Linked DNA regions of Callithrix jacchus. The protein of the gene in region 5 interacts with the protein of the main gene of each other region in a biochemical or structural test. Links are inferred from orthologs where the notes say so. Each region holds a gene or a part of one and is shown on either strand. Other genes may lie near its edges.

Region 1 (3,500 bases), on a different chromosome or scaffold from region 5:
TCGGGGTCGATGTCCACAGACCTCCCAGCTGTGCCCACTCACCGTGCCCTCGGGGTCATATGCCCACAGACCCCCAGCTGTGCCCACTCACCGTGCCCTCGGAGTCAGATGCCCACAGACCCCCAGCTATGCCCACTCACCATGCCCTCGGGGTCATATGCCCACAGACCCCCCAGCTGTGCCCACTCACCACGCCCTCCGGGTCAGATGCCCACAGACCCCCCAGCTGTGCCCACTCACCACGCCCTCTGGGTCGGATGCCCACAGACTCCCCAGCTGTGCCCACTCACCACGCCCTCCGGGTCGGATGCCCACAGACCCCCCAGCTGTGCCCACTCACCACGCCCTCCGGGTCGGATGCCCACAGACCCCCCCAGCTGTGCCCACTCACCGTGCCCTCAGGGTTATATGCCCACAGACCCCCAGCTGTGCCCACTCACCGTGCCCTCGGAGTCAGATGCCCACAGACCCCCAGCTATGCCCACTCACCATGCCCTCGGGGTCATATGCCCACAGACCCCCCAGCTGTGCCCACTCACCACGCCCTCCGGGTCAGATGCCCACAGACCCCCCAGCTGTGCCCACTCACCACGCCCTCTGGGTCGGATGCCCACAGACTCCCCAGCTGTGCCCACTCACCACGCCCTCCGGGTCGGATGCCCACAGACCCCCCAGCTGTGCCCACTCACCACGCCCTCCGGGTCGGATGCCCACAGACCCCCCCAGCTGTGCCCACTCACCGTGCCCTCAGGGTTATATGCCCACAGACCCCCAAGCTGTGCCCACTCACCATGCCCTAGGGGTCGGATGCCCACAGACCCCCAGCTGTGCCCACTCACCGTGCCCTCGGGGTCATATGCCCACAGACCCCCCCAGCTGTGCCCACTCACCGCGCCCTCCAGGTCGGATGCCCACAGACTCCCCAGCCGTGCCCACTCACCGCACCCTCGGGGTTGGATGCCCGCAGACCCCCCAGCCGTGCCCACTCACCACACCCTCGGGGTTCGATGCCCACAGACCCCCCAGTTGTGCCCACTCAACGTGCCCTCAGTGTCATGCCCACAGACCCCCCAGCTGTGCCCACTCACCGTGCCCTCGGTGTCATGCCCACAGACCCCCCAGCTGTGCCCACTCACCATGCCCTTGGGGTCATATGCCCACAGGCCCCCCAGCTGTGCCCACTCACCGTGCCCTCGGTGTCGGATGCCCACAGACCCCCCAGCCGTGCCCACTCACCACACCCTCGGGGTCGGATGCCCACAGAACCCCCAGCTGTGCCCACTCACCGCACCCTCAGGGTCGGATGCCCACAGACTCCCCCCAGCTGTGCCCACTCACCGCGCCCTCAGGGTCCACCAGCAGCAGGTGCTTGGGCCGCCCCGCGTGCATGCCAGTGAGGACATACTGCCCGGGGTTGGTGACGCTGTCCCGCACCAGGAAGTCCCCGTCCGCACGAAGCAGCCTCTCTGCCGCCCGGCGGCTCATCCGGCCGTGGTACCAGGGCTCCTGCCGCAGCTGCTCCTCTGTAGGGGCCACTGGGGCCCGGCGGGTTGGGGGGCTGGGCCACTGGTCCTCCAAGGGAAGGGGGGCTGCTGTACCCGTGGCCACTGAGCACTCATGCAGCTTCAAGGCATCCTCAAAGGGTCCTGTGGGCAAGGACAGCAGTGCTGGGCGGGCAGGGGCCGCGTAGGGGGCTGGGCAGCTACTCCTGCCGGGACCAGAGCTGAGAGCAACGGGTTCCCCTAGGAATCCTGCAGACCAGGGACAGGAGAGCTGGGAGGGCAGGGACCACGTAGGGGTCTGGGCAGCTGCTCCTGCCAGGACGAGGGCTGGGAGGAACGGGTTCCCCGGGGAGGCCCCCCCTGACCTTATCGGCCTGCGCTGACCGAGCACCCACAGCGTATCAGACCCGCACTCCACTCAGCCCCATGCGTGCTGTGGCTCACGTGTGCAGCAGCTGGAAGCCCGGGCTGAGTTTTGTAAGCTTGTAAGAGGGCGGCAGCCACTCTGTGTTTCAGACATAAACTCCTATTTCTCCTTCTCGCCTTGTTAGGCGGGCTTCCTTCCTGAAGGGTCCCCTCCTGTTTCCTCACTGGCCTTACTGCGCTGGCCACGACCTCCAGCACACGCCACACGCCCACACGGGAGCAGGCTCCCTCTGTGGTCCTGAGCGCCAGCGAAAACCCTCTTAATCATCCGCCCGGGTTTCCTGAAGGTTCCAATGGTACCAACCTCCAACAGGCCACTCAGGCCTCCTGGGAGCCTCAGTCCCCTCGCTGTAAAGCAGGGGTGGGTGTTTCCCCAGGCAGAAAGCAGTGCAGCTCAGACGCTGCAGCCCGGGACCCCGGCCCTGACGGAGATGCAGCTACCTGTGGGTGGGGTGGCCTCGAATTCCTCTAACTCCTGGTCCCGGAGTCCTCCCACCCTGACCCTTACCACCTGGTCTCCCTGTGGTGGGGTGGCCCTGCACTCCTCCAGCTCCTGGTCCCCGGAGTCCTCCCGCCCTGACCCTGGCGCTGAGCCACCTCCGACTCCTAGCCTGGCCACTCTGCATGTTCCTCGCCCTCCAGCCAGCAGTTGGTTTGGGAATAACCATGTGGCAAATCAGAAGCAGCCAGAGGACTCTGCGTGGAGGACAGACGAGAAGCCGCCCTCCCTCACTGGGGGCTGCTTGGCAGTCAGTCCGGTCGCCCTGAGGGTCGCCTGCCTCGGAGGGAACTCACAGCTCAAGCCCCTCCTTTCCCATCTGAGGCTGCCGCGAGGGGCCGAGAGGGCCTGGCTCTGTGCAGCGCTTGGTGCTGAGGAGGCGCCCACTGGGTGCCAGCTGGTGTCATCAGTGTGATGCTAAGAAGCTGCGTTGTCAGAGGGTGGAGGGAAGGAAGGAACCTACAGCCAGCTGGGGAGGTGTCCGGGGCCTGGGCGAGGACCCCACCCGGCAGCTCAGAGCCAGCACCCCTCGTGCTGCAGCACGGACGCTGCAGGAAATCCAGAGACAACTCTGGACACCTTTGGCGAGGAAGGACGAGCCTCCTCCTTCAGACTGGGGCCTCCCTCGGGCTGGGCCATCCCACTGGGAAGGAAGGAAGGAAGGGGCTCCATCCGACTAGCCACTGTGTCGGGGTGTGGACCGAGCCTCCCTCCTTGGACCAGGGGTTCCTTCAAGCAGGAAGCTGCGCCTCCCCCGTCAGGCTGGGACTTCCATAGGAAGAATCCTCGGAGTCACATGGAGAGAAAGCTTAATTTCCTCATCAGATCAGGGAGTCCCAGAGTCGGGTGCACGACCCACAGAGCAGGTGGCCACCCGAGCCCCGGCAGGCAGCAGGTCCCACAGAGAAAAGACAAGGCCTCCCCTCTCGGACTAAGGAGTCCGCAGGGCATGGAGCGTGGGTCTGGCTTCCCCTGTTGACCGGAGGGTCTCACAGAGGGGGCCGCAGCCTCCCGCCACATGGACCATTCTTTCAAGAAATGACGAACCCCCTCCCTTCAGACGGTGGGGGGAT
Region 2 (3,500 bases), on a different chromosome or scaffold from region 5:
GGATGGAAGGATGGATGGATGAATAGATGGATGGATGGATGTGTGGATGGATGGATAGATGGATGGTTGGATGGATGTGTGGATGGATGGATGGATGGATGTGTGGATGGATGGATGGAAGGATGGATGGATGGATGAGTTGGATGCATGGATAGATGGATGGATTCATGGATAAACCAATGAAATGCAAGCATCAGGTGAAGTGGGATCAATTCTAGTGCTGGCTTCTTGTAGTCGCAAGTCTGATGAGGTAAATGTGCTCTCTGTTTTCTGTCTGCCTTAGTTTCTCCATCCACTGATTGAATAAAGCCTTAGTTTCCTCAGCTACAAGGCACCAAGCAGCACAAGCTGCTATCCCTGGCCCAGCTGGTGAGCTGGGGAGCAGAGACCAGGCTTGTCTTCCTCACGGTCTCTGTCCACTCGGATCTGCCAGTGCTCCCTGCGTGCCCCCATGAGGCAGGTGTTGGGCAAGGTCCTCGGCCACAAGTCACCTCATCTAATGCTTGCCTCAACCCCGCGCCCTGAAAACCATATCCCTCACGTTCCAGGTCAGGACTGTGGCCCCTCGGGGAGGTTAAGCACTTCCTGGAGGTCAGTGACTCCAGCCGAGGGCTCCCAGCTCCAGGAGCTGTGCTCCCAGCCAGCCGGGGAGAGTCGCCTGTCCCTGTCTCCTGCTCCCCGTCTCCTTCCTTCCCTTTCTTCTTTTCTCCCTCACTCTCCTTTTCTCCTGTCTGTGTTCTTCTACCTTCCATCTCTGCAGACCTTGGACACAGCTGTGTCGAGGGAAAATGAGGAGGGGGAGGGGCACAGGTAGCCCGGTGTCTCTGATGCCCACGTTGCTGCCGTCCTGGGCTTCTAGGACAGGGGTTTATTCAGCTGAGGAGCAGCACAGCCAACTTTCTACTCCACCCAAGAAGCAGCTCCTTCCCCAGCAGCCCACAGGGGCTGTGCAGGGGCCACAGGGTGGGCTCGGTCCTGGTGTGGAGGCCCCCATGATGTACTTCACCGTGTACCTGTTCCCTCAGATTGCTGAAGGGATGGCGTACATCGAGCGCATGAATTCCATCCACCGCGACCTGCGGGCGGCTAACATCCTGGTGTCTGAGACCTTGTGCTGCAAGATTGCTGATTTTGGCTTGGCTCGGATCATCGACAGTGAATACATGGCCCAGGAGGGTGAGTACAGCCCCCAACCACGAGAGAAACCTGAGCCCTTACCTTCCCCAGCCCCTCAAAGCCCCCTTAATTCCTCCCAGCACAGCCCTGAGGGAAGACACCCGAGGGCTAGACTGTTTCCAAACTCTACATCAGCATTTCTTTCACTTCCCCGATGTGTTCAGCAGCACAGTAGTGCCCCAAGACCTCCCACGGAGGAACAGCTTTAGGATAAGGTTGGTTTGGAGAAACAGTAGTCCACCCCCTCCCTGCCTTGGAGATTCCCAGTGTATATCAACATATTAAAGGCACTGAGAAGTCCTGCAGCAAAGGAACCGTTTACATTCGCCTCACCTAGTGCCTCCCAAACTAATTTGAGCTCCAAATACTTTTTTTTTTTTTTTTTTTGAGATGGAGTCTCTGTCACTCAGGCTGGAGTGCAGTGGCACAATCTTGGCTCACTACAGCCTCTGCCTCCTGGGTTCAAGCAATTCTCCTGCCTCAGCCTCCCAAGTAGACGGGATTACAGGCAAATACCACTACACCTGGCTAATTTTTGTATTTTTAGTACAGACAGGGTTTCACCATGTTGGCCAGGCTGGTCTTGAACCCTTGACCTCAGGTGATCCACCTGCCTCGGCCTCCCAAAGTGCTGAGATTACAGGCATGAGCCACCGTACCCAGCCCCAGATACTATTTTTATGTAGCGCCTATTAACCTTCCACAGAAGTAGGCTTTCCCAGAGCACACTGTGGGAAACACAGCTTTCATGCGTGAGCAGCAAACCTTCTGAATTACGGGGTCCACGGAGCATTCTGTCTGATTCTGTGAATTAGAATCTCCACAGAGCCCTCTGTCTTACTCTGTGAATATAATTGAGGTGGAAATCTCCTTCACAAGAGAAACTGAAGTGATCACACACATTTATCAAGCAAGCAAGCTGTATTCGCTTAGCGTACGAGTGACAGCCAGACGGGATATGGTTTGCTCTCTCGGGAACTCAGGCTGGCTGGGGAGACCGAGAAATGTAGGCCAGGGGAGGCCATGATGTGCCAGACTCTGAGGCCTGCTCCAAATGCTGGCCAGGCCCAGCCACCTCGGGCTTCACAGGGTGGCCGGATGTGAGTCCTTCCTCGGAGCGGCCTCCCAGGTGCCAGTGTCACCGTTTCCATTTGGCAGGAAGGGACTCACAGAGGCTCCACCAGCTTTGAATGGCTCACCCAGGCTGTGTTTTCTTTATTAAACAAGGCCCCTGTGAGGCGGAACACGCCCCTTCCATCCCAGGTGGAAATGTGGTGGCTGCCCATTGACGCCACTCACTCTATTTTTAAAGAACCAAAGTGGGACTGCATGGTACCAGTGTCCATATTGTCCTTCTGTGCTGCAGATGCCTCTGCACTCACCTGGCATGCATCCTGGTGTGTGGCAGTGGCTCCCCCACCGTGTCTGGCTGCCCTGTCCTGCAAGGCCCCACAGTGGGGGACTAAGGGAAGGACAGCAGGAGCAGGGGTAGGGTGAGGGTAGGGTGGAGAGTAGAGGCCACCCACCATGGCCTCCCAAAGCTGTGCATGGCTTTTCCTGCAGGGGCCAAGTTCCCCATCAAGTGGACTGCCCCAGAAGCCATCCACTTCGGGGTCTTCACCATCAAAGCTGATGTGTGGTCATTTGGAGTCCTCCTGATGGAAGTCGTCACTTACGGGCGGGTGCCATACCCAGGTAGGCGGCTCGCTCCGCAGCTCTCACGGGCTTCCTGCTTTCCCTGCTGGCTCTGGCGGCAGGTCCTGTCCCTGTGCCTGTGGCTGCCCCCTTCTTTTCAGAGTAAGTCCCAGGGTGGGGACGGAGACCCAGGTGTGGCATCTGGGGTGGAGCTCTGGCCCCTGCATCACTATGACTCCAGGCCACAGGGCTGCCTCCTTCCTCCAGCAAAGGTCACAAGCCTCACAGACTGGAATCAAGACAAAGGCACACCCGAATTCAAAGTTATTCCCAGTGGTCTGTTCTCAGTTGAGGACGGGTTGTGCCTACCTTGGCATCACACCCATAGTGGATTCCAAAAGCCCCATCCTGAATGGGCAGAATCGTGGACGCCAGCCCCCAGCCCCCAGCCCCTGTCAGAAGGGCTTGGATGGCTTGGGCCGGGCAGCTGGGCAGGCTCTGGGTCACCTGCTGCTGTGTGCACCTGCCAGCTGCCCGTGAGTGATGGGCTTAGCTGTGCCCCTGGCAGTCACAGTAATCAAGACATGGAGGGTGCCATCCACAGAGGACCTGCCCAACACGCAGGAGAAAATCTTTCTTTCCTAGGCGTTCCTAAGCAATAAAAAGGACTGTTTAGAGGCTGGGCCTGT
Region 3 (3,500 bases), on a different chromosome or scaffold from region 5:
CAGATGAGAAAACTGATACTCAGAAGGTTTCTTAACTTGGCTAGGTAATACAAGTAGCTAAGCGATTAAATCAGGATTTCATACCAGGTCTGTCTGATGCATTTTCTTTTAAAGCAATACTCTGTGTTGCAAACAGTTCCAACAGCAAGAATTCCAAGTGCAGATTTCTCCTTGTGTCCTCCCCACCCCCAATCCTATCATCACACTCAACCTGCTATTTAATCCCCGGACCCTAGGCTGTTCCTTAATGCCCTTGTCTGTTGCACCCCCAACTCCTTCATCCTTGGGCAACTCTTACGCTCGGTTGAAAACTATGGTGTAGCAATGTCTACAAATAACAAAAAAATAGCACCTGTGGCTGGGCATGGTGGCTCACGCCTGTAATCCCAACACTTTGGGAGGCAGAGACTGGTGGGTCATGAGGTCAGGAGTTCGAGACCAGCCTGACCAACATGGTGAAACCCCGTCTCTACTACAAATACAAAAATTAGCCAGGCGTGGTGGTTTGCGCCTATAGTCCCAGCTACTCAGGAGGCTGAGGCAGGAGAATCACTTGACCCTGGGAGGCAGAGGTTGCAGTGGGCCAAGATTATACCACTGTACTCTAGCCTGGGAGACAGAGCAAGACTCCATCTCAAAAAAAATAAAATAAATACATAAAAGAAAACCCAGCACCTGCGGTGGGAGCTGATGTTTGTCTAGTGCAGTATGGTGAGGAATAACAGGAAGCATGAGACACATCATCTTCTCCCACCTTCGTAGTCACCTGGGAGGTAGATATTACCATTATCCCTATTTTATGGATGAGGAGGCTGAGGCTCAGACAACTTCCAAAGTCACACAACTGGGAAGTGTTGCACTCAGAGTTCAGAGTTCTGTCTTTCAGTCTACTGAGAGGATCTGCCCCGCCCATGCATTTTTCCTGGTGGTTTGAGTCAGAACTCAGGCTGCCTAAACTCTCTGGATTGGGGTTGATCGGGACCTGGAACATACCTGGTCTTCTCGGGTTCTGTCTCTGAGGAAGATCTGCTTCTGTTTGGAGATAGAGGTTGTCCTGTAGTAGTCCACCAGCTTATTTAGGGAGGGGAACTTCTCCGTCCATAGGAAGTAACTGCCCTTATTGTCTCGCATGACCTTGAAGTGTTGAACGTCATCCTCATGCCTGGAGATCAAGGCAAAGAAACTGTATGTTATACTATGATGATGTCCCTGCCTCCAGGCTGCTTGCATCTGGGATGCAGCTCTCTTTGGGAAGGAGATGTAGATTTGGATGACTCCCTCATCACCAGGCAGGTGGGCCAGCCCAGTCAGGCTTCAGCAGGAGCTTTGTAGGATGAACCACTTAGGATACAAGCTATGATAGAGGGGATTTACATCAGAAGAAGGTAATGAGATGAGCTAAAATTTGTCTTGGACACTGGAACTAACCTTTAACAAGAAAAGCATGTTCCAAGTGTTGTAACGACTGAGAGATCAAAGACCTTTTCACAATGTCTATTTGCAAAATCTCAGTGTGGGTATTTCAAGCTCCTATTATCTTTCTGTTACCAGAGTACTTTGAACCACTTCCTTTAAGCTCATAAACCAGCACTGGCAGGTAAGAAGCTACTCTCTTCCCTAAGAAATATGTCACATTTGTTCTCTATGTAGTAAGAATCTCTTGATCTTGGTTTATGTTTTGCATAAATAAGGTTACAAAGCATTTTCAGCTTTTGGGGAAAATAGCTTTGTATGAAATCAGAGGTTTTAAATGTTTCTTTTCTTTTTTTTTTTTTTTAGACAGAGTCTCACTCTGTTGCCCAGGCTGGAGTGTAGTGGTGCGATCTTGGCTCATTGCAACCTCTGTCTTCAGGTTCAAGTGATTCTCCTGTCTCAGCCTCCTGAGTAACTGGGATTACAAGCGCCCACCCAATGCCTGGCTAACGGCTAACTTTTTCATAGTTTTAGTAAAGATTGGGTTTAACCATGTTGGTCAGGCTGGTCTTAAAGTTCTGACCTCTGGTGATCCACCCACTTTGGCCTCCCAAAGTGCTAGGATTACAGATGTGAGCCACCATGCCGGGTAGAATGATCAGAGTTTTAATTGAAAAGGATCTTGGAGATTGTTTAGCCTTACTTCTCCATTTCACAGATGAGAACACTGAGAGGACTCAGAGAGGCCCAGGGTTGAGGCCAGAACCCCTGAGTCTCTGACTCCAGTCTAGTGAGCTTGGCCTGTGATAACGTCTTTTAGATCAGCACCTTTTGATACCAGTTTAGATTCACAAGTGATGGGACACGTGTGAAGCAGGGCTAGAGAAAATGGATTTCATCTATCTAGGAAGGGTGGGCTGAGCCTTTACCATTATTAGATCCAGTATTACTTCATTGCCAAGTCATTCTCTTTTGGAAGTAAGTCTGTTTTTCAAACAGTCATACATTTATATCTAAAAATAAATTGGCACTAGTGATGCCAACTGCCTGATAGAAAAGAAAGGTTAAGGATTTTAAAGGGTCTCAGAGAATAAAGATACCTCTGAGAGTAAGTGGAGGTTTCTTAGGGATGGATTTATGGATCTGTGTTAAAAAGGAGATGGAAATTCTGACCCTCAATCTCATCTTATGTGCTGGGATTTGCTCATAGCGGGGTGAAGCCAAAGGTTGTACAAGTGGCCTCTGGCTTGACTGATTTGGGGTGGTAATCAATACATCACAATCACTGCGTAGGCTTCCCTTTGGTTTTTGGCCACCAATAGATACTTTCTTCATTCTAAGACAACGTGGCTCAACTCAAAGTCATTACCCTTCACATCTGGGTCAGGAGGAGGAAATATACTTGTGATATTATAATTTATTCATCCACCACCTCATAGTCAAAGAACTCAGAGTGTGAAACACTGCCCCTTTTACTCTGACGAGCTGTAAAGATGGATGTGAGGGTTGTAATTGGTCATCTGGGTCTACAAGGAGAGGCCTGACCACTGTCTCAAGCCTGAAGAGGAACAGAGGAAAGGATGCGATTCAGGGCAATAGACTCTGAAATCTAGTGGTTTAGGCCCTTAACAAATGCAGAGTGATAGAACTACAATTAGCTCTTAATTATCTGTGCCCATGACAGATGTAAAAATAATTAACAATGATTTTGCTTTGGAATATATTATACTACATTTCTGTAGAAGATGTGATAATGATTATGGTAATTGCCACCAGAACTAGAAGCTTCATTGCCTCAATATCAGGGGAAGACTTTGGCAGAAGTCAAGGCTGTTTTGTAAAATTCATTTTAATAAAGGAAATATAAACCATAGTTTCAGGGTCGGGTGTGATGGCTCATGCCCGTAAGCCCAGAACTTTGGGAGGCCAAGGCGGAAAGATCACATGAGGCCAGGAGTTCAAGACAAGCCTGGACAACATGGCAAAACCCCCTCTCTACTAAATCCCTACTCACAGACACAAATTAGCTGTGTGTGGTGGTGCAAACCTGTGGTCCCAGCTACTGGGGAGGCTGAGGCATAAGAATC
Region 4 (4,150 bases), on a different chromosome or scaffold from region 5:
TAGTCATGTGTTTGTTTGCTCTCTCTCAGCCACGAAAACAGCAATATATCCCTATTTATTGCTTTATCCTACCTGGCTCATTAACTACTTGTTGAATGAATTAATACTAGGTTAAAATAATTTGAAGTCCGGGCACAGTGTCTCATGCCTATAATCCCAGCACTTTGGGAGGCCAAAGCAGGAGGATCGCTTGAGCACAGGAGTTTGAGACCAGCCTGGCCAACATGGCAAAACCCTGTCTCTACAAAAAAAATACAAAAATTAGCCAGGTGTGGTGGTACACACCTGTAGCCCCACTAATTGGGAAGCTGAGGAGGGAGGGAGCCAAGGAAATCAAGGCTGCAGTGACCACACCACTGCACTCCAGCCTGGGCAGCAGAGTGAGACACTATCTCAAAAAAACCATCATAATAACAATAATAATAAAATAAAATTCTAGGGCTGCGCAGGGTGGCTCATACCTATAATCCCAATACTTCAGGAGGCCAAGGTGAGAGGATCACCTGAACAAAGGAGTTTGAGACTGCCGTGGGCAACACGGCAAGACCCCATCTCTATTCTAACAATTTTAAAATTTTTAAAAAATAAAATTCTAGGAAATGCAAACTAATATATAGTGACAGAAAGCCTAAGAACAAAGGAGGGATTATAAAGAACACGAGGCAAAATCACGAGAGATGGTAGATGTGTTCATTATCTTGACTGTGGTGATGGTTTCCCAAGTGTATATGTATGCCAAAACTGATGAAATTGTACATTTAAATATATGCAATTTATCATATGTCATTTATACCTTATTAAGGCTGCTTAACAAATAAAACAGATTCACAATCCAAAAAAAATAAATCATTCAAAATTATATGTATTATGTTCATAATCTGGCTTTTTGGGTGGTACACAATATCAGGGCTGGAGGGGAGAAGTCATTGCTCCATTTTCAAACTGTCATCTTTACCATTTACTTGCTGCTTTGACTATGCCCACACTTCTCTGCTTCTAAACCAACAAACTGGACAATGTAGGGTCTATTACTCCCCAGACCTTTTCCCAACCCCCAGCCCCCTTTCTTTTTGTCTCCTAAAGCAGCAGATCCTTACTTGTCTGGAAGAGCAGACACCAGGAACAAAAGGCTCAATGACTATTTGACAGATTAAAGAATAGACAACTGTTTTATTTAAAAGCTCCCTAAAGAATTAGAACATTTGAGGCTACACACTGTTCTGTTGAAATGCAGTTATATATTACCCAGATCTGTAAACACTTGCCAACAGACCTGTCCAAGTCACTCACTTCCAACCAGTTCTCAGTTTTCTTTTTTCTCCCCTTTTTAAGCTTCAGATCCATGTATGAATAACATGGCAGGTGTGTTTGGAGGAGGCATTCCTAATATTTTGAAAAGTCTCATTCAAATAGCCCCAATAGCTTGAATCGCTTTTTAAATGTCTATGACAGTGACCATAATTGAACAACCATGGAAAAGAATAGATAATGGGTCTTAAGTGTGGTGGTATATACAGTGACCACACAAAATAACAGGATCATTATCTGAAAACAACAGGTCACACCACTGTTTGACAACAAAATTAAGGCTTACAAATAGTTACAAAATAATAGAAGCAACATACTGATTAAAGGTAGGGATTCTGTCTCCACCACCTACTTGCTGTGAGGCAATTTGCTTAACCTTTGAATCTCGGCCTACTCATCTTTACAATGAGGATAACAGCCATCTGATAGGGCCGCCAGAACTAAGCAAATGTTAGCTATTAGTAGTATATTTACCCTGACCTTTCAAAGGATCTCATTAACTCACTAATCCTCCTTAGTTTCAAATTTTGTCATTTACAGCACGTAACTTCTGGGCCTCGGTTTCCTCATCCATAAAACGGGTACCAGTAAAGTGACCTGACTTTAAGGTTGCAGTGAAGGATTAAATAACGAGAATGTGGCTCCCTTCCTTTTCATCTCCCAAAGCGAAGATCGCAGAGGAAGGAAATACTTCTAGTGGCTGCACATACAGTCAGTTTTTCCATTTCTGGCACGTGAGGGGTAGGAGAAAAAGAAGACACAAAGGGGCATGTAAAAGCCTCAGGGGTCCTGCGTAGTCCCCAAATGCACGCAAGTGGCACAGTGACCCAAAACGGCTAGACCACTGGGGGTCCGGCCCCACGCAACTCCCCTCTCATGTCCCAAGGAGCCTCCCCAAGTGAGCAGTTATTTCGGAATCACCATGAGGCAATTCTCATGAGGCAATGGGTCAGGAATGCGGCGCTGAGCCGGTCCGCCGGCGCCCGTGGTTCCCTCGGCGGCTCTACCTGCCCGGGGCCTGACGGGCATCCCCCGGGCTGCCGCAGCCGGAACTCGGGGAGGCAGGAAATGAATGGGAACCCGAGGGGTCGGGGCGCGGTGGGGTCGGCCTCCGGCCCCGGGAGGGCGAGGGGACGAGGAGGGAACCTGCCCCCAACCCGATCCGGGACGGCAGTCCGAAGCCCGGCCGGGGCGCCCCCTTCCGGACGGGGCTGACAGAGCGCGGCGGGGGCCGGGCCGAGGCCCGAGCCGGGCCCCTCAGGGCTCCTCACCTCCGCGATGTCATGTTCCTCCCGCCCTCCGGCTCCGCGACGGACCCGCTCCTTGCTCAGGCTCCGCTGGGCTCGGTCACATCGGGCTGGCCCGAGGGAGGCCCGCTCGGGACCGGACGCAGGACAGAGCCAGCCGGCCGCGCACAGACCCCCCTCCAGGCCTGGGGATCCCGGAGACTGTGCAGCCGCCCCCCGGCCCGGCTCGCTCCTCCTCCGCCCCCGCCCTTCGCTGCCGTCGCCCCGTGATGTCACCGCTCGCGACGCCCGCCGCCACTTCCTGCTTCCCGTCAGCCGAGAACTGAGCGACGGCCGAGAATGGCAGCGCGGGGTCTCCGCGGAGGCGCCACGCGCAGTGACCAAAGCACCCACGTTTCCTCCTGAAAACCGCGGCCACCGGGTGTGAGCTGTGCGCTCCGCCTCTACGCGGCTTCACCGACCCGGCGCTTTCGGGCCCGCTGCCACATCGATTTCATTCATTTCGTTCCACAAATCGCCGCTCCTCTCATTAGCTGTGGATGGAACCTTAGGGAAATTACTTACTGTCTCCGAGCCTCAGTTTCCTCCATTATTTATTTATGTAAGATAAAGATAGTAGGCCGGGCGCGGTGGCTCAGGCCCACCATCCCAACATTTTGGGAGGCTGCGGCTGGAGGATCGCTTGAGCCCAGGAGTTCGAGGACAGCTTGGGCAACAAAGCGAGGCCTCATCTTTTCTACAAAAAAATAGAAAAAAACTAACCGGGCGTGGAGGCTGCGGCGGGAGGATCACTTGAGCCCGAGAAGTCCGGGCTGTAGTGAGTTGTGATCACACCACTGCACTTCCGCCTGGGCGACAGGGCGAGACCCTGCCTTAAAAAAAAAAAAAAAATACTTTGGGCTGAGCGCTATGGCGCACGCCTGAAATCCCAGAGGCCGGCGAATCACTTGAGCCCAGGAGTTAGTGACCAGCCCGGTAAAAATAGTGAGATCCCATCTCTACAAAAAAAAATACAAAAATTGACTGGGCGTGGTGGCGCGCACCTGTAGTCCCAGCTACTCCGGAGTCTGAGGTGAGGATTACTCGAGCCTGGAAAGTTGAGACTGCAGTGAGCCGAGATCGTGCTACTGCTCAGGCAAGGTATGGTGGCTCACGCCATCCCAGCACTTTGGGAGGCCGAGAAGAATGGATCACTTGAGGTCAGGAGTTCAAGACGAGCCTGGCAAATTTGGTGAAATCCTGTCTCTACTAGAAATAAAAAGATTAGTGGAGATTGGTGGCGCACACCTGTAGACCCAGCTACTCGGAAGGCTGAGGTAGGAGAATTGCTTGACCCGGACAGGCAGAGGTTGCAGTGAGCCCAGATTGCACCACTGCACTCCATCCTGGGCAACAGAGCTAAACTACTTCTCAAAAATAAATAAAGGGCACAGATTTAGTGAATGGCAGAGCCATAAGTTTAACCCATGTCTACATAGCTCCAGAATCCTCATTTGTTTAATGCTTGTCCATTACATTCACATACAAATAACTCTCATACTGTGTGCTAACTGCTTCAGCACTCATGCTCCTGACAAAGATCACTTTTAATATAT
Region 5 (3,500 bases):
CCAAGGCAGGTAGGACCCAGCTAGAGAAGCCATGCCAAGAGGCCAAGCCAGCCAGAGCTGAGTCAAGAGGGTGCACAGGGACAGGCAGCCTGAACAAGTCCAAGAACGCTGCTGCCAGAACCCTGTGGGCACTCCTATGTGCTGGCAGATGGGGAGTACACACTGGGCTCCCTGTCTTACCACACTCATGCTCTGGCCGGTTGGCAGTGTGGAGCAGGGCTTGGTGCGGGTTCCGGAAGAGATTGTCCCAGGGCACCGTGTGCACGAAGCAGAGGCGTGCATTGTGGTGGATGAGGGCCAGTCCACTGCCCAGTTCCCGCAGTGAGCGCAGCCCCAGCCAGCTGATGCCCAGGCCTTGCAGGGTCAGCAAGTAGGCGCCACTATGGGAGAACGCACGCCCTTCACAGTCAGCAAAGGCTACCTTCATCTTCCTCTGTCCCCAGCACACTCTACAAACTCTCACGGAAAGGTTACTGCTGTGTCCCGGGGGAAAAGGAGTACTCCCCCAGGCCAAAAGCTTCCCACAGGGACTCCTCCCCTATCAGGCCCCCTCTTTCCCAGTGCTCACTTGTGCAGAATTCGTCCTCGGATTACTTGCAGGTTCTGGAAGACGCTGAGGTCGGGCAGGCTGTCTGGCCATGCTGAGATGTACAGGTAACCTGCAGGTAGAGGGTGAGATGAGGGGGTTGGAGACACGACAAGGACTCCCAGCCCCTGCAGAGCATGATACAAAGACAGGGCCCACCTGTGATCTCTTCCAGAGTCTCAAACACTTGGAGCTGCTCTGGCTGTAGGGGGACGGTGTTGGAGGCTGGGTCCCTGGAGGAATCAGGAGAGGAGTCAGCAGGGCCAAGAACAGGCTGGACATCACTCCCAGCGCTGGGTGTGCCAGCCCACTCCCCGCCGTGAATGCCTTCCCTCAAACCCTTTGCCCATCCAGGACTTCAAAGCCCAGGCCTTAGTTTGGCAGCATCTATGAAAACAGTATTTATCCTTTGATCTAGAAATCTTGTTTCTAGGAATGTGACCTAGGGAGACACTGGCCTGTGTTCCCAGAGCCACATACGAGGTGGAACTGTTTGTAAGAGTGAAAATGGAACATGATCCCAATGTCTATTAGTAAATAGGGGAGCTGTTAAATAAAACCCTGAGCCACCAGACCACATAATAAAAACCAGCATTTAGGAGCACTTAGTATCTGCCAGGCACTGTTCCAAGAGCTTTACAAATATTAACTCAGAGGCCGGGTGCAGTGGCTCACTCCTGTAATCCCAGCACTTTGGGAGGCCAAGGCGGGTAGATCACGAGGTCAAGAGATCGAGACCATCCTGGTCAACAAGGTGAAACCCTGTCTCTACTAAAAATACAAAAATTAGCTGGGCATGGTGGTGCGTGCCTGTAGTCCCAGCTACTCGGGAGGCTGAGGCAGGAGAATTGCTTGAACCCAGGAGGCGGAGGTTATGGTGAGCCGAGATCATGCCATTGCACTCCAGCCTGGGTAACAACAGCGAAACTCTGTCTCAAAACAAAAAACAAAACAAAACAAAAAAAACACAAATATTAACTCATTCAAATTTTATAATCATCTGGCCAGGCACAGTGATACAATCATCTTATGAGGCTGGGACTATTCTTGGTCCCATTTTACAGATGAGGAAACTGAAGCACAGCATGAGGGTCACATGCCTAGTAAGTAGTACAGCCAAGTAGTCTGGCTCCAGGTTTCAAACCTAGGTAGTCTGGCTCCCAAGTCTGGGCTCTTAGCTGCCTCTCCTTGCTGCCATCTTCTCAGCAGCTATTGAGAGAACAAGGCAGTTCGACTCCCAAAGCAAGGTGCAGACAGTGCTCCCCATATGCTCCCGTTTACAGAAACCAACCTCCCCACCAAAACAGTGAAAACCACACTTCACTGTGTGTCTACAGATGCATAAATGGTCTAGATAAACAGACACACTGTTAACCCTGATCCCCTCTGGACTGGAGAGTGGAGGTAAAGGAAACATGAAAGAGAATTTTCTTTTCTTTCTTTTTCTTGAGACAGGGTCTCACTCTTTCAGCAGTGCAGTGGCATGATGTCAACTCACTGCAACCTCCACCTCCCAGGCTCAGGTGATTCTCCCACCTCAGTCTCCCTAGTAGCTGAGACTACAGGTGAACACCACCATGCCTGGCTAATTTTTTCTGTTCTTTGTAAGGATGGGATTTCACTATGTTTCCTTGAACTCCTGGGCTAATCAATCCTCCTGCCTCAGCCTCCCAAAGTGCTGGGATTACAGGTGTGAGCCAATGCCTGTAATGTGCACCACCGAGCCTGGTGCTTTTTTTTTTTTTTTTTTTTTGCAACAGGGTCTCATTCTGTTGCCCAGGCTGGAGTGCAGTGGCAAAATAGCTCACTGCAACCTTCACCTCCCAGGTTCAAGCGATTCTCCTGGCTCAGCCTCCCAACTAGCTGGGACTACATGCGCACACCACCAAGCCTGGCTAATTTTTTTATTGTAGAGACAGGGTTTCACCACATTGGCCAGGCTAGTCTTGAACTCCTGACCTCAAGTGATCTGCCTGCCTGAACCTCCCAAAGTGCTGGAATTACAGGTGTGAGCCACTGTGCCTGGCCCCAATTCATTTTTTATTGAAGTATAACTTATATACAATAAAATACACAGACTCTGAGCATACAGTTTGATGTTTTGACAAAAGCACTCACTCATGTATCCACTACCCCAATCAATATACAGAACATTTTTCTTTCTCTTTTTTTTTTTTTTTTTTTTTTTTTGAGACAGAGTCTTCCTTTGTTGCCCAGGCTGGAGTGCAGAGCCACGATCTTGGCTCACTGCAACCTCTGCCTCCCAGGTTCAAGCGATTCTCCTGCCTTAGCCCCCTGAGTAGCTGGGATTACAGGCACGCACCACCACGCCTGGATAATTTTTGTATGTTTAGCTGAGACAGGGTTTCACCATGTTGGTCAGGCTGGTCTCGAACTCCTGACCTCATGAGCCACTCTCCTCAGCCTCCCAAAGTGGTGGAATTACAGGCATGAGCCACCATGCCTGACCCAGAACATTTTTCTGTTACCCCAGAAATGTCCCTTGTGTCCCTCCCTTTTGAGGCCCCACACACACTAGCGCAGCCACCGTCCTGATCTCTCCAGCCACAGAGTGGTTTTGTGTGTTCACAGCCTCACATAAAGGGGATCAGACAGGATGGAATCTTGGCTTCTTTTGCTCAGTGCAATGTGCCTGAGATTCATTCATGTTGTATTGGTAGCTCATCTCCTTCTGTTGCTAAGTAGAATTTCACCAAATGGATATACTGCCGCTTGTTTAACCTTTCATCTAGTTATGCACATTTGAGTTTTTTATAATTTGGGGATATTTTAAATCAAGCTGCTATGAACTCAAAGGGAATTTTGCTTTATCTAGATGGTCTGACCTCCTTACAAGTCCTTGTTCACAGATCGCATGTCCTTTACAAAAATAACCACCCCCACCCCAAAGGCC
Region 6 (4,292 bases), on a different chromosome or scaffold from region 5:
TTGTCCGCATCTAATGAAGATCTCGCTTTGGGAATGATAGGGCTGTTTCGCTTCAGATCTGGGGAGGACTCTGATAACCATCAAAATCTTCTATGGGGTGTGCAATTGCTGTTGCTATGCAAGCCAGGGGAAAGGAACAAATGAGTGCCGTGTGGCTGTTCTGCTAGGGCTGCGGCACAGGAGGCGAGCCGTGGGGACGCGCTTCCTGTGCCGGGGACGCCGCGGCTCCTCTGCGCTCCTGCGTCCTAGTGGTTGGCTTCACCCGCTCGCCCGCCATGAGTGGTGCTCATTAAACGCTGCTCCGTAGAGCAGGGTTCAAGACTGGGGACCTCACGTGCCCCACATGTTCGGTCATGGGCGTGAGAGGACTCAGGGTGACCTGAGAGTGCGCTAAAGGTGAATTTATTCTCTTGCTCGGAAGTTGCGGGGAAACTTTGATAGTGAGTGTTTCACTGTGGAGCAGGTGATCTTAATGCATGAGGAAGGCTGGCAGAGCCCACTGAAGTCAAGAGTCAGCTTCAGTCTCGGGCAGACCTTCGGGGACGGCGAAAGCCTTGCTCTCCTAACTGAGAGGAAGAAGGCCTGTGCATTTTACTTGCAAGCCCGAGCCTGACTCCTGAAAAGAAGGCATATTTTCCCCCCTGTGGATTTGATGTGCAATGAGAACAGCTGCATTTTTTCCTTCCTGACTGCAGGGTTGCAAGCAGCAACCGAAGGAACACTGAAATGTATTTGCAGCATTTCTTAGGCGTTTTTCCAGACCTTAAACACATTCAGTAGGAATAAAGCTTCAAATGCAGCCCCTATTTTGGAATGGATTTCTGGAGCCTGTAGCCACTCGTCAAAGCAGCAGTTTTCTTCTTTTTTGGACGTGGATATTCAACTTAACCCTGGCTGAGAAAGACTGCTGTAAATTAGCAGGGAAGACCCCTTGATTGGCACTGTGCAGAAGTTCATATGCAGATTTTTTTTTTAAGGAACTGCATTGCCACAAAGACACTTGTCATCGCTGCTCTGTTCATTTGAAAAGAAAAAGAAAAACCCAGGAAATTGGTATTTTATGTTCACCTGGTGGTGAATATCCTTTTTGTTTTTTCTATTTAAAAATTCCTGCTGCCTTCCAAGTCAGGATTCATCAGGATTCGCTGAAGATCTGATTCTTAAAAAGCCTTCGTCACATTTTAACGCATCGCTGTTAGACACTTTTACAGGCTCACACAGATGGGCTGAGCAGGGACGAGCAAACCCTAACAGAATAATGGGTTTCAGAAAGTTCATTTGACGATTTGAAGGAACTGGATTGGATTTACCTTTGGCACAAATGCAGAGTGCGGGGGATGGGAAGGTGAAAAATCAAAGGTTGGAAGGAAATCTCTGGGAAGGTAGAAAAAGGAAATTTGAGAATTGATTGGCTCTAGTGTGCTGTCAGCGGGTGGATGTCGTTTTTTTCTTCTTTTTTCCTTTTTTTTTTTTCTGCTACAGGAAGTGATTTGCAGTGCTCACCGAGCCTTTGTTGAGAAGGGTCTCCTCTCAGAGTGAGTCATGCTTTTGCTGTGAGCAGCCCCAAGCAGCTGGGCGCTCCATCAGAGGCAACTATGACTTTTGCAAAGCAAACGTGCAACCCCAAGCAGTGGTCTCCCGGGCCGGGGCTGCGCGGCCGCTGCTGTGCTGGTTTTTAATGGTGGGAGGGCACCATTCTCGTGCTCTGCTCTCCCTCTCCAGAAGGCTGTCCCGGGGCCCCCACTCTCCGTCCCGCTCCGGGGACAGCGGCTCGCCTGCTATGCGCGGCAGCCCGCGCCGGGGCCGGCACCAGCAGCGCCCGGGCGGATGCAGCGAGCCCACGGAGGGGCATGCTTCCACGCACCAAGTACAACCGCTTCAGGAATGACTCGGTGACATCGGTCGATGACCTTCTCCACAGTCTGTCGGTGAGCGGCGGCGGAGGCAAGGTCTCGGCGGCGCGCTCGACCCCGGCTGCGGCTCCCTACTTGGTGTCCGGCGAGGCGCTGCGCAAGGCGCCCGACGATGGGCCCGGCAGCCTGGGCCACCTGCTCCACAAGGTGTCCCACCTGAAACTCTCCAGCTCCGGCCTCCGCGGCCTGTCGTCGGCCGCCCGGGAGCGGGCGGGCGCGCGGCTCTCCGGCAGCTGCAGCGCGCCCAGCCTGGCTGCCCCGGACGGCAGCGCGCCCCCGGCGCCCCGCGCCCCGGCCATGAACGCCGCCAGGAAAGGCCGGCCAGGCGACGAGCCGCTGCCCAGGCCCCCTCGGGGGGCGCCGCACGCCAGCGACCAGGTGCTGGGGCCCGGAGTCACCTACGTGGTCAAGGTGGGTGTGAGCGCGGGCTGCCCTGGGTGTCGGGGGTCCCGGGGCCTGTGTGGGGGCCAGTTCGGGGCAGACCCCTTCCTTCCCTGAAGCCCGGAGTGCGGGGCGTACCCGCGACTGTCACGTTAGAGGCAAGAAAATGCGCACTCCTTAGTAATCACCTAGCTTGACAGCGGTGAGGAGGGAACTACAAATGCGCCTTTCCAGCATCCTTTGGGAAAAGGTTTACCACTCGGGTGACCCGCTCCGTCCCGATTTTCCCTGGGCTCCACTTTTTTGGCACGCCTTTGCCACCTGGCTTACCAGATGTCCGGCCAGTGTCGTGGGCGCCCAGTCCTGGACAGCGGGGGTCCGGTCTGCCTAGTATCTAGGAAACGCGCTGGGGAGACCTGGGCAGCCCCGGGGAGGAGAAAGCACGGAGTGGCCCTACTCCTGCTGTGTCTTCCCCTGCAGGAGGGTGGGTACCTTATTCCCACCGCAGCAAGAATTCCCAGCTCCTTGCAGAGCAGGCCAAATGCTGTGTTGCTTTCTCTTCGACGGGCTCTACTTTCTCACCCAGGCCAGGTTTTCTTTGGGTTTGTCTTTCATTCCTTAAGGAAAGGTTCTGGTTTACAGCAGCGAAACAAGAATTCTAGGACTACTTTTCTGGTGACTGTAGTCTTCCATTTAAATGTGCTAAAAAGGAACGAGGGCGCTGAGCTAGGAGCCACAGGCTGGAAAGGAGTTTTTTTCCTCCAACACAAAGATGATAAAATCACGATGTAGTCCATAAAATTCCACCCTTATGCAAGCGTGCTGTGATATTTAAGGAAAAATCCTCAGCACAGTTCAAGTAATCTGCCACGCGGTTATTTCCTTCTGTCCGTTGGGCAGCCCCGAGCTTTCCCAGCCTCCACAGCCGAGCAGACATCCCCTACACAAGGGGTTAAGGTTGGAAGTTGCAGTGTTACAATCCTGCCACTCCAAGGCATGGCTTTGTATTGAAAAAGAAATGAGACACAAACTCTATCCCCTCGGTGTCCTCAATAACACTGAGAAACCCGCAGGATGTCTATTCCGTAAATGCTGCAGATTCCAGTTTTAAAATCCAACAGAACATATTCTCAGGTAAAATGCAATATCTGGTAATTTTGGAACCAAATCATTAACAGAAATACTTAACTTTATGGGTTGCCTTTAAGTATATAAAAAGTACTTGCAGATGAATGTGACCATTGGTCTTAGAAGAGGGCCTCTTCATCTTTTCAGTCTGCCTTTTAATTTAATCTTGATTTTAGCTTCTAAGTATAATTATTTTATTTTACCAAAGGAATAGAAATGAGCATAAAATATACATATTTGGTTGAGTTTATTTTAAGAGAAACTGAAGATTCTTCTTGTTTTGCTTATTTAAATTATGTAACCAGGGGCCAAAAACAAAAAGGATAAACCAAAGCAAGCAAGCAAACAAACAAAAACCTCTGATGGCTTTGAGGCTGTGTTGACTTCTAGAGTGTGAGTATAATGGCTGTTTTAAAAAGACTACATTTCAAATAGACAAACAGACCTTGGCAAAGCTTTTTGTACCTGTCATATTAAACAGAGTTGTTTTCAAATTGAGGGAGAATTCTCAAACTTGCCTTTAAATTTTTGTTTTAATCACTTTACTTAGGGCTTTGCTTTGGCTTTGTAAAAAAGAAGGCAGGCATCCAGTTTGAAAGGTCAAAAGTGGCAAAATTATGATGAATGTCCTAAAATAAGACAGCTCGCCACCGACAATCTGTTGCTGTAAGTTTGTGACTTACCGGCAGCATCAGCAGCAGTATTCATGGTCAAAGGGCTGGATCTGCACAGAGCTTATCTGTGTCTTGGGAATACTTTCTGTTGCCACATTTAAGGGGTTGCAGTAACGGGTGGCAGTGCATGGCATGATTAATTAGGGCTCTGTACCGTCCATGGTTTGCTTCATTGTTCACTGGCCACTGTGAATGG
Region 7 (3,500 bases), on a different chromosome or scaffold from region 5:
ATTATGTGCCTTGGGGTTGCTCTTCTTGAGGAATATCTTTGTGGTGTTCTCTGTATTACCTGGGGTTGAATATTGACCTGCTTTGCTAGTTCAGGAAAATTTTCCTGAATAATATCTTGAAGAGTATTTTCCAGCTTGGATTCATTCTCTCCGTCGCATTCAGGTACACCTATCAAACGTAAATTTGGTCTTTTCACATAGTCCCACATTTCTTGGAGACTTTGCTCATTCCTTTTTAGCCTTTTTTCTCTAATTTGTCTTCTTGTTTTCTTTCATTAAGTTGGACTTTGACCTCTGTTATCCTTTCTTCTGCTTGAACAATTCAAGTGTTTAAACCTGTGCATACTTCTCAGAGTTCCTGTATTGTATTCTTCAGTTCCATTAATTCACTTATATTCCTCTCTAAGTTGTCTATTCTCAATAGGATTTCGTCAAACCTTTTTTCAAAGTTCCTAGTTTCTTTATGTTGGGCTACAACATGTTCTTTTAACTCACAGAAGTTTCTTATTATCCATTCCTTGAAGATAATAAGAAACTTATTGGGATGTGCTCGTTCTCCATCAAGCCTTGTTCCATTGTTGATGTGGAACTGTGATCATCTTTAGAGGGAGAGGCGTTCTGATTTTGAGTATTCTCAGCCTTTTTACGCTGGTTTCTTCCCATTATTGTAAATTTATCCTCCTGTCGTCTTTGAAATTACCAACTTTCAGATTAGGTCTCTTGATTGGATGTCCAAGTTGTTAGTTCCCAGGGCCAGAACGGAGGTGTTAAGACTGATGGTGCTTTTCTGCCCAGGATTCTCCTGTCTGGCTTCCTTCTTGTGTCCCTAATGGGCGACTCTGCCTTCCCCGGGCTCCAAACCTCAGTCAGAAGGGGAACCAGTCTTGTTTATTCTGCGCCGAGAGCTGCCGCGCCGAGGTGCGATCACAGCCGCTGCGCCAGCTGTCAGGAGTCGTGCTGGGGACCCGTGTGGGTCCTCCAAATCTCGGTCAGAAGGGGAGCCGGCCCTGTTTACTCTGCTCCAAGAGCTGCCGCACCGAGGTGCCGGCGAAGCCGCTGCACTGGCCACAAGAGTCGCGCTGGCGACCCGTGTGGTTCCTCCACTGGGGATCTTCTGCTCCAGGAGTGACCAGAATTTGTCTAAAAGTGTGGCGTCCTCTAGTCCTCTGCGCTTTGACTGAAAGCTGCAATCCCGAGCTGTTATCAATCGACCATCTTGGATCGTTCCTCCATTTTTATTTTTTATTTTTATTTTTGAGACAGAGTCTTGCTCTGCTGACCAGACTGGAGTGCAGTGGTGTGATCTCTGTTCACTGCAACCTCTGCCTCCCAGGTTCAAGTGATTCTCCTGCCTCAGTCTCCAGAGTCACTGAGATTATAGACACCCACCACCATGCCTGGCTAATTTTTGTATTTTTAGTAGAGAAGGGGTTTTACCATGTTGGCCAGGCTGGTCTCAAACTCCTGACCTCAGGTGATCCACCTACTTCAGCCTCCCAAAGTGCAAGGTTACAGGTATAAGCCACTGTGCCGAGCCAAGAGTGTGCTCTTGAATGAGCCACTTAACCACCCTGAATTGCAGCAGCTGTTTCCTTCTCAGGGTTGCTATGATGACTGAAAAAGGTCGTTCAGCAAGTATGGTGAGTGGTACCTAGAGCAGAGTTGTGAAGAGTTGGGCTTCGGGAGCTGAGAGGCCTGGCCTGTATCCCAGCTCCGTCACTTAGAGAACTTTGGCCCAGTCAGTTCATTCCTCTGACCTCTTTCACAAGATTATTGAGGGGGGCTAAGTGGACTCCCAGGGGAAAGCCCTAAACTGTAAATGAGAAGAGCTCTGGGAGTCTGTCCGTCTTGCTTGCAGCTGAATGCTCAGTGCTTAGCATAGTTCTGGTGCACTGCAGGAGTTCGAGACCAGCCTGGCCAACATGAGGAAATTCTGTCTCTACTAAAAATACAAAAATTAGCCGGGTGTGGTGGTGGGCATCTGTGATTCCAGCTACTTGAGAGGCTGAGGCAGGAGGTTGAATCCAGGAGGCAGAGGTTGCAGCGAGCCAACTTCATGCCACTGCACTCCAGCCTGGGTGACAGAACAAGACTCTGTCTAAAAAAAAAAGAAAGAAAGAAAGAAAGAAAAAGTGTCTGCCCAGACATAAGCTTAGCTGTGTCCATTTAACGCATGAGGCTGATTCCAAGCTTGGGGCTTCTGAGCACCTGTACCCCCTGGTAAAATGCCACAGTCTGGACTAGGCATGGGAATAAGGACAGGCAGACACTGGGATCCTTGAAGGTCATTGTTCTGTACAGACTTTAGGAAAATTCCAGCATCTGGAGCACATGAAGCACTAAAAGTGGGGACTAATCTCAGGGCTGCTTTCCCTGTGACTGTTGGTCAGGGGGCACAATGATCAGGGTATGCTGGTTTTATTTATTTATTTATTTTTGGCTGCTTTCAATGTTCCCAATCTAGGAAAGATGCCCGTTCCCCTGGAATGAGAAACCCTTATAGCTTGAGCTTCATTAACTGAGAGACCAGAACCCCTGCTCGGAGGTGATGGGAGTGGGAGGCAGGCAGAAGCCCTCAGGCAGCAGCCACGTTTGCTCCCACCCTGCAATCTCGGCCACCCCACCGTCTCATGGGCCTGGAAGGCAGAGTGCCCAGGTCTGCAGGGGGCCTCACCTACATACTCGCCCCTGGCGAAGGGCAGGGCTGGGTGAACCGGCCTGGTCTCCTGCTCCACCGGAGGCGGCTCGTAGCTGTCATCCACATTCTCCTCGGCAGGCATCACGTACATCTCTGAATCCGAGTGCTCGTCTGGATTTTCATAGTCACTGTCCTGCAAGTGCAATGCAGTTACTGTGCTTGGCATCCCTGTCTGTGCTGCCCTCGCCATAGTCAGGACCATTGCTGCCTTGGGAGGCTGAAGCAGTGACGCCAAGACTTGGAGAAGCTGCCAAGGCTAGGCAGTTGGTAAGAGGCAAAGCTGGGGTTTGAAGCAGGCATTTTTACCGCCAAAGTTTATCCCTTCAACCACTGTGCTGTCCTGGGGGTACACATGAACCACTTAACGCTATTGGGAGTTGACTCTCTGTAGATCCACAAGGAATAACAGTAGGGGATAATAAAACCTATTTTTAAAAAGGCTGATCACAAGGTCAGGAGATCGAGACCATCCTGGCTAACATGGTGAAACCCCGTCTCTACTAAAAATACAAAAATTAGCTGGGCATGGTGGCACGTGCTTGTAATCCCAGATACTCAGGAAGCTGAGGCAGGAGAATTGCTTGAACCCAGGAAGCGGAGGTTGCAGTGAGCCAAGATCGCGCCATTGCACTCCAGTCTGGCACCTGGTGACGGAGTGAGACTCTGTCTCAAAAAAAAAAAAAAATAAATAAATAAATAAATAAAAAGGATAGAAAAAGGGGCTACCGTGGTGGCTCATGCCTATAATTCTAGCACTTTGGGAAGTTGAGGTGGGCAGATCGCCTGAGCTCAGGAGACCAGC

The links.
Region 1: the proteins of ERBB2 (region 5) and SHC2 form a complex in vitro, tested with the Homo sapiens proteins (2 studies listed by BioGRID and IntAct, with this or other methods). The link is inferred for Callithrix jacchus from reciprocal best matches to the Homo sapiens genes ERBB2 and SHC2.
Region 2: the proteins of ERBB2 (region 5) and BLK form a complex in vitro, tested with the Homo sapiens proteins (2 studies listed by BioGRID and IntAct, with this or other methods). The link is inferred for Callithrix jacchus from reciprocal best matches to the Homo sapiens genes ERBB2 and BLK.
Region 3: the proteins of ERBB2 (region 5) and GRAP2 form a complex in vitro, tested with the Homo sapiens proteins (2 studies listed by BioGRID and IntAct, with this or other methods). The link is inferred for Callithrix jacchus from reciprocal best matches to the Homo sapiens genes ERBB2 and GRAP2.
Region 4: the proteins of ERBB2 (region 5) and PTPN11 form a complex in vitro, tested with the Homo sapiens proteins (2 studies listed by BioGRID and IntAct, with this or other methods). The link is inferred for Callithrix jacchus from reciprocal best matches to the Homo sapiens genes ERBB2 and PTPN11.
Region 6: the proteins of ERBB2 (region 5) and SHC3 form a complex in vitro, tested with the Homo sapiens proteins (2 studies listed by BioGRID and IntAct, with this or other methods). The link is inferred for Callithrix jacchus from reciprocal best matches to the Homo sapiens genes ERBB2 and SHC3.
Region 7: the proteins of ERBB2 (region 5) and BLNK form a complex in vitro, tested with the Homo sapiens proteins (2 studies listed by BioGRID and IntAct, with this or other methods). The link is inferred for Callithrix jacchus from reciprocal best matches to the Homo sapiens genes ERBB2 and BLNK.

What each region holds. Positions count from the first base shown.
Region 1 is NC_133523.1:421,351-424,850, forward strand, and holds part of SHC2 (SHC-transforming protein 2), read right to left. Parts: intron 1,647-3,500; coding exon 1,339-1,646; intron 1-1,338. UniProt on the Homo sapiens protein: Signaling adapter that couples activated growth factor receptors to signaling pathway in neurons. Involved in the signal transduction pathways of neurotrophin-activated Trk receptors in cortical neurons.
Region 2 is NC_133514.1:10,499,035-10,502,534, reverse strand, and holds part of BLK (tyrosine-protein kinase Blk), read left to right. Parts: intron 1-1,025; coding exon 1,026-1,176; intron 1,177-2,739; coding exon 2,740-2,871; intron 2,872-3,500. UniProt on the Homo sapiens protein: Non-receptor tyrosine kinase involved in B-lymphocyte development, differentiation and signaling. B-cell receptor (BCR) signaling requires a tight regulation of several protein tyrosine kinases and phosphatases, and associated coreceptors.
Region 3 is NC_133502.1:190,692,082-190,695,581, reverse strand, and holds part of GRAP2 (GRB2-related adapter protein 2), read right to left. Parts: intron 1,163-3,500; coding exon 994-1,162; intron 1-993. UniProt on the Homo sapiens protein: Interacts with SLP-76 to regulate NF-AT activation. Binds to tyrosine-phosphorylated shc.
Region 4 is NC_133510.1:115,365,349-115,369,498, reverse strand, and holds the start of PTPN11 (tyrosine-protein phosphatase non-receptor type 11), read right to left. Parts: upstream 2,801-4,150; 5' UTR 2,594-2,800; coding exon 2,580-2,593; intron 1-2,579. UniProt on the Homo sapiens protein: Acts downstream of various receptor and cytoplasmic protein tyrosine kinases to participate in the signal transduction from the cell surface to the nucleus. Positively regulates MAPK signal transduction pathway. Dephosphorylates GAB1, ARHGAP35 and EGFR.
Region 5 is NC_133506.1:120,174,685-120,178,184, reverse strand, and holds part of ERBB2 (receptor tyrosine-protein kinase erbB-2), read right to left. Parts: intron 820-3,500; coding exon 746-819; intron 660-745; coding exon 569-659; intron 381-568; coding exon 181-380; intron 1-180. UniProt on the Homo sapiens protein: Protein tyrosine kinase that is part of several cell surface receptor complexes, but that apparently needs a coreceptor for ligand binding. Essential component of a neuregulin-receptor complex, although neuregulins do not interact with it alone.
Region 6 is NC_133502.1:73,024,775-73,029,066, reverse strand, and holds the start of SHC3 (SHC-transforming protein 3), read left to right. Parts: upstream 1-1,492; 5' UTR 1,493-1,850; coding exon 1,851-2,324; intron 2,325-3,336; exon of another isoform or gene 3,337-3,383; coding exon of another isoform or gene 3,384-3,428; intron 3,429-4,292. UniProt on the Homo sapiens protein: Signaling adapter that couples activated growth factor receptors to signaling pathway in neurons. Involved in the signal transduction pathways of neurotrophin-activated Trk receptors in cortical neurons.
Region 7 is NC_133513.1:89,066,060-89,069,559, forward strand, and holds part of BLNK (B-cell linker protein), read right to left. Parts: intron 2,832-3,500; coding exon 2,675-2,831; intron 1-2,674. UniProt on the Homo sapiens protein: Functions as a central linker protein, downstream of the B-cell receptor (BCR), bridging the SYK kinase to a multitude of signaling pathways and regulating biological outcomes of B-cell function and development.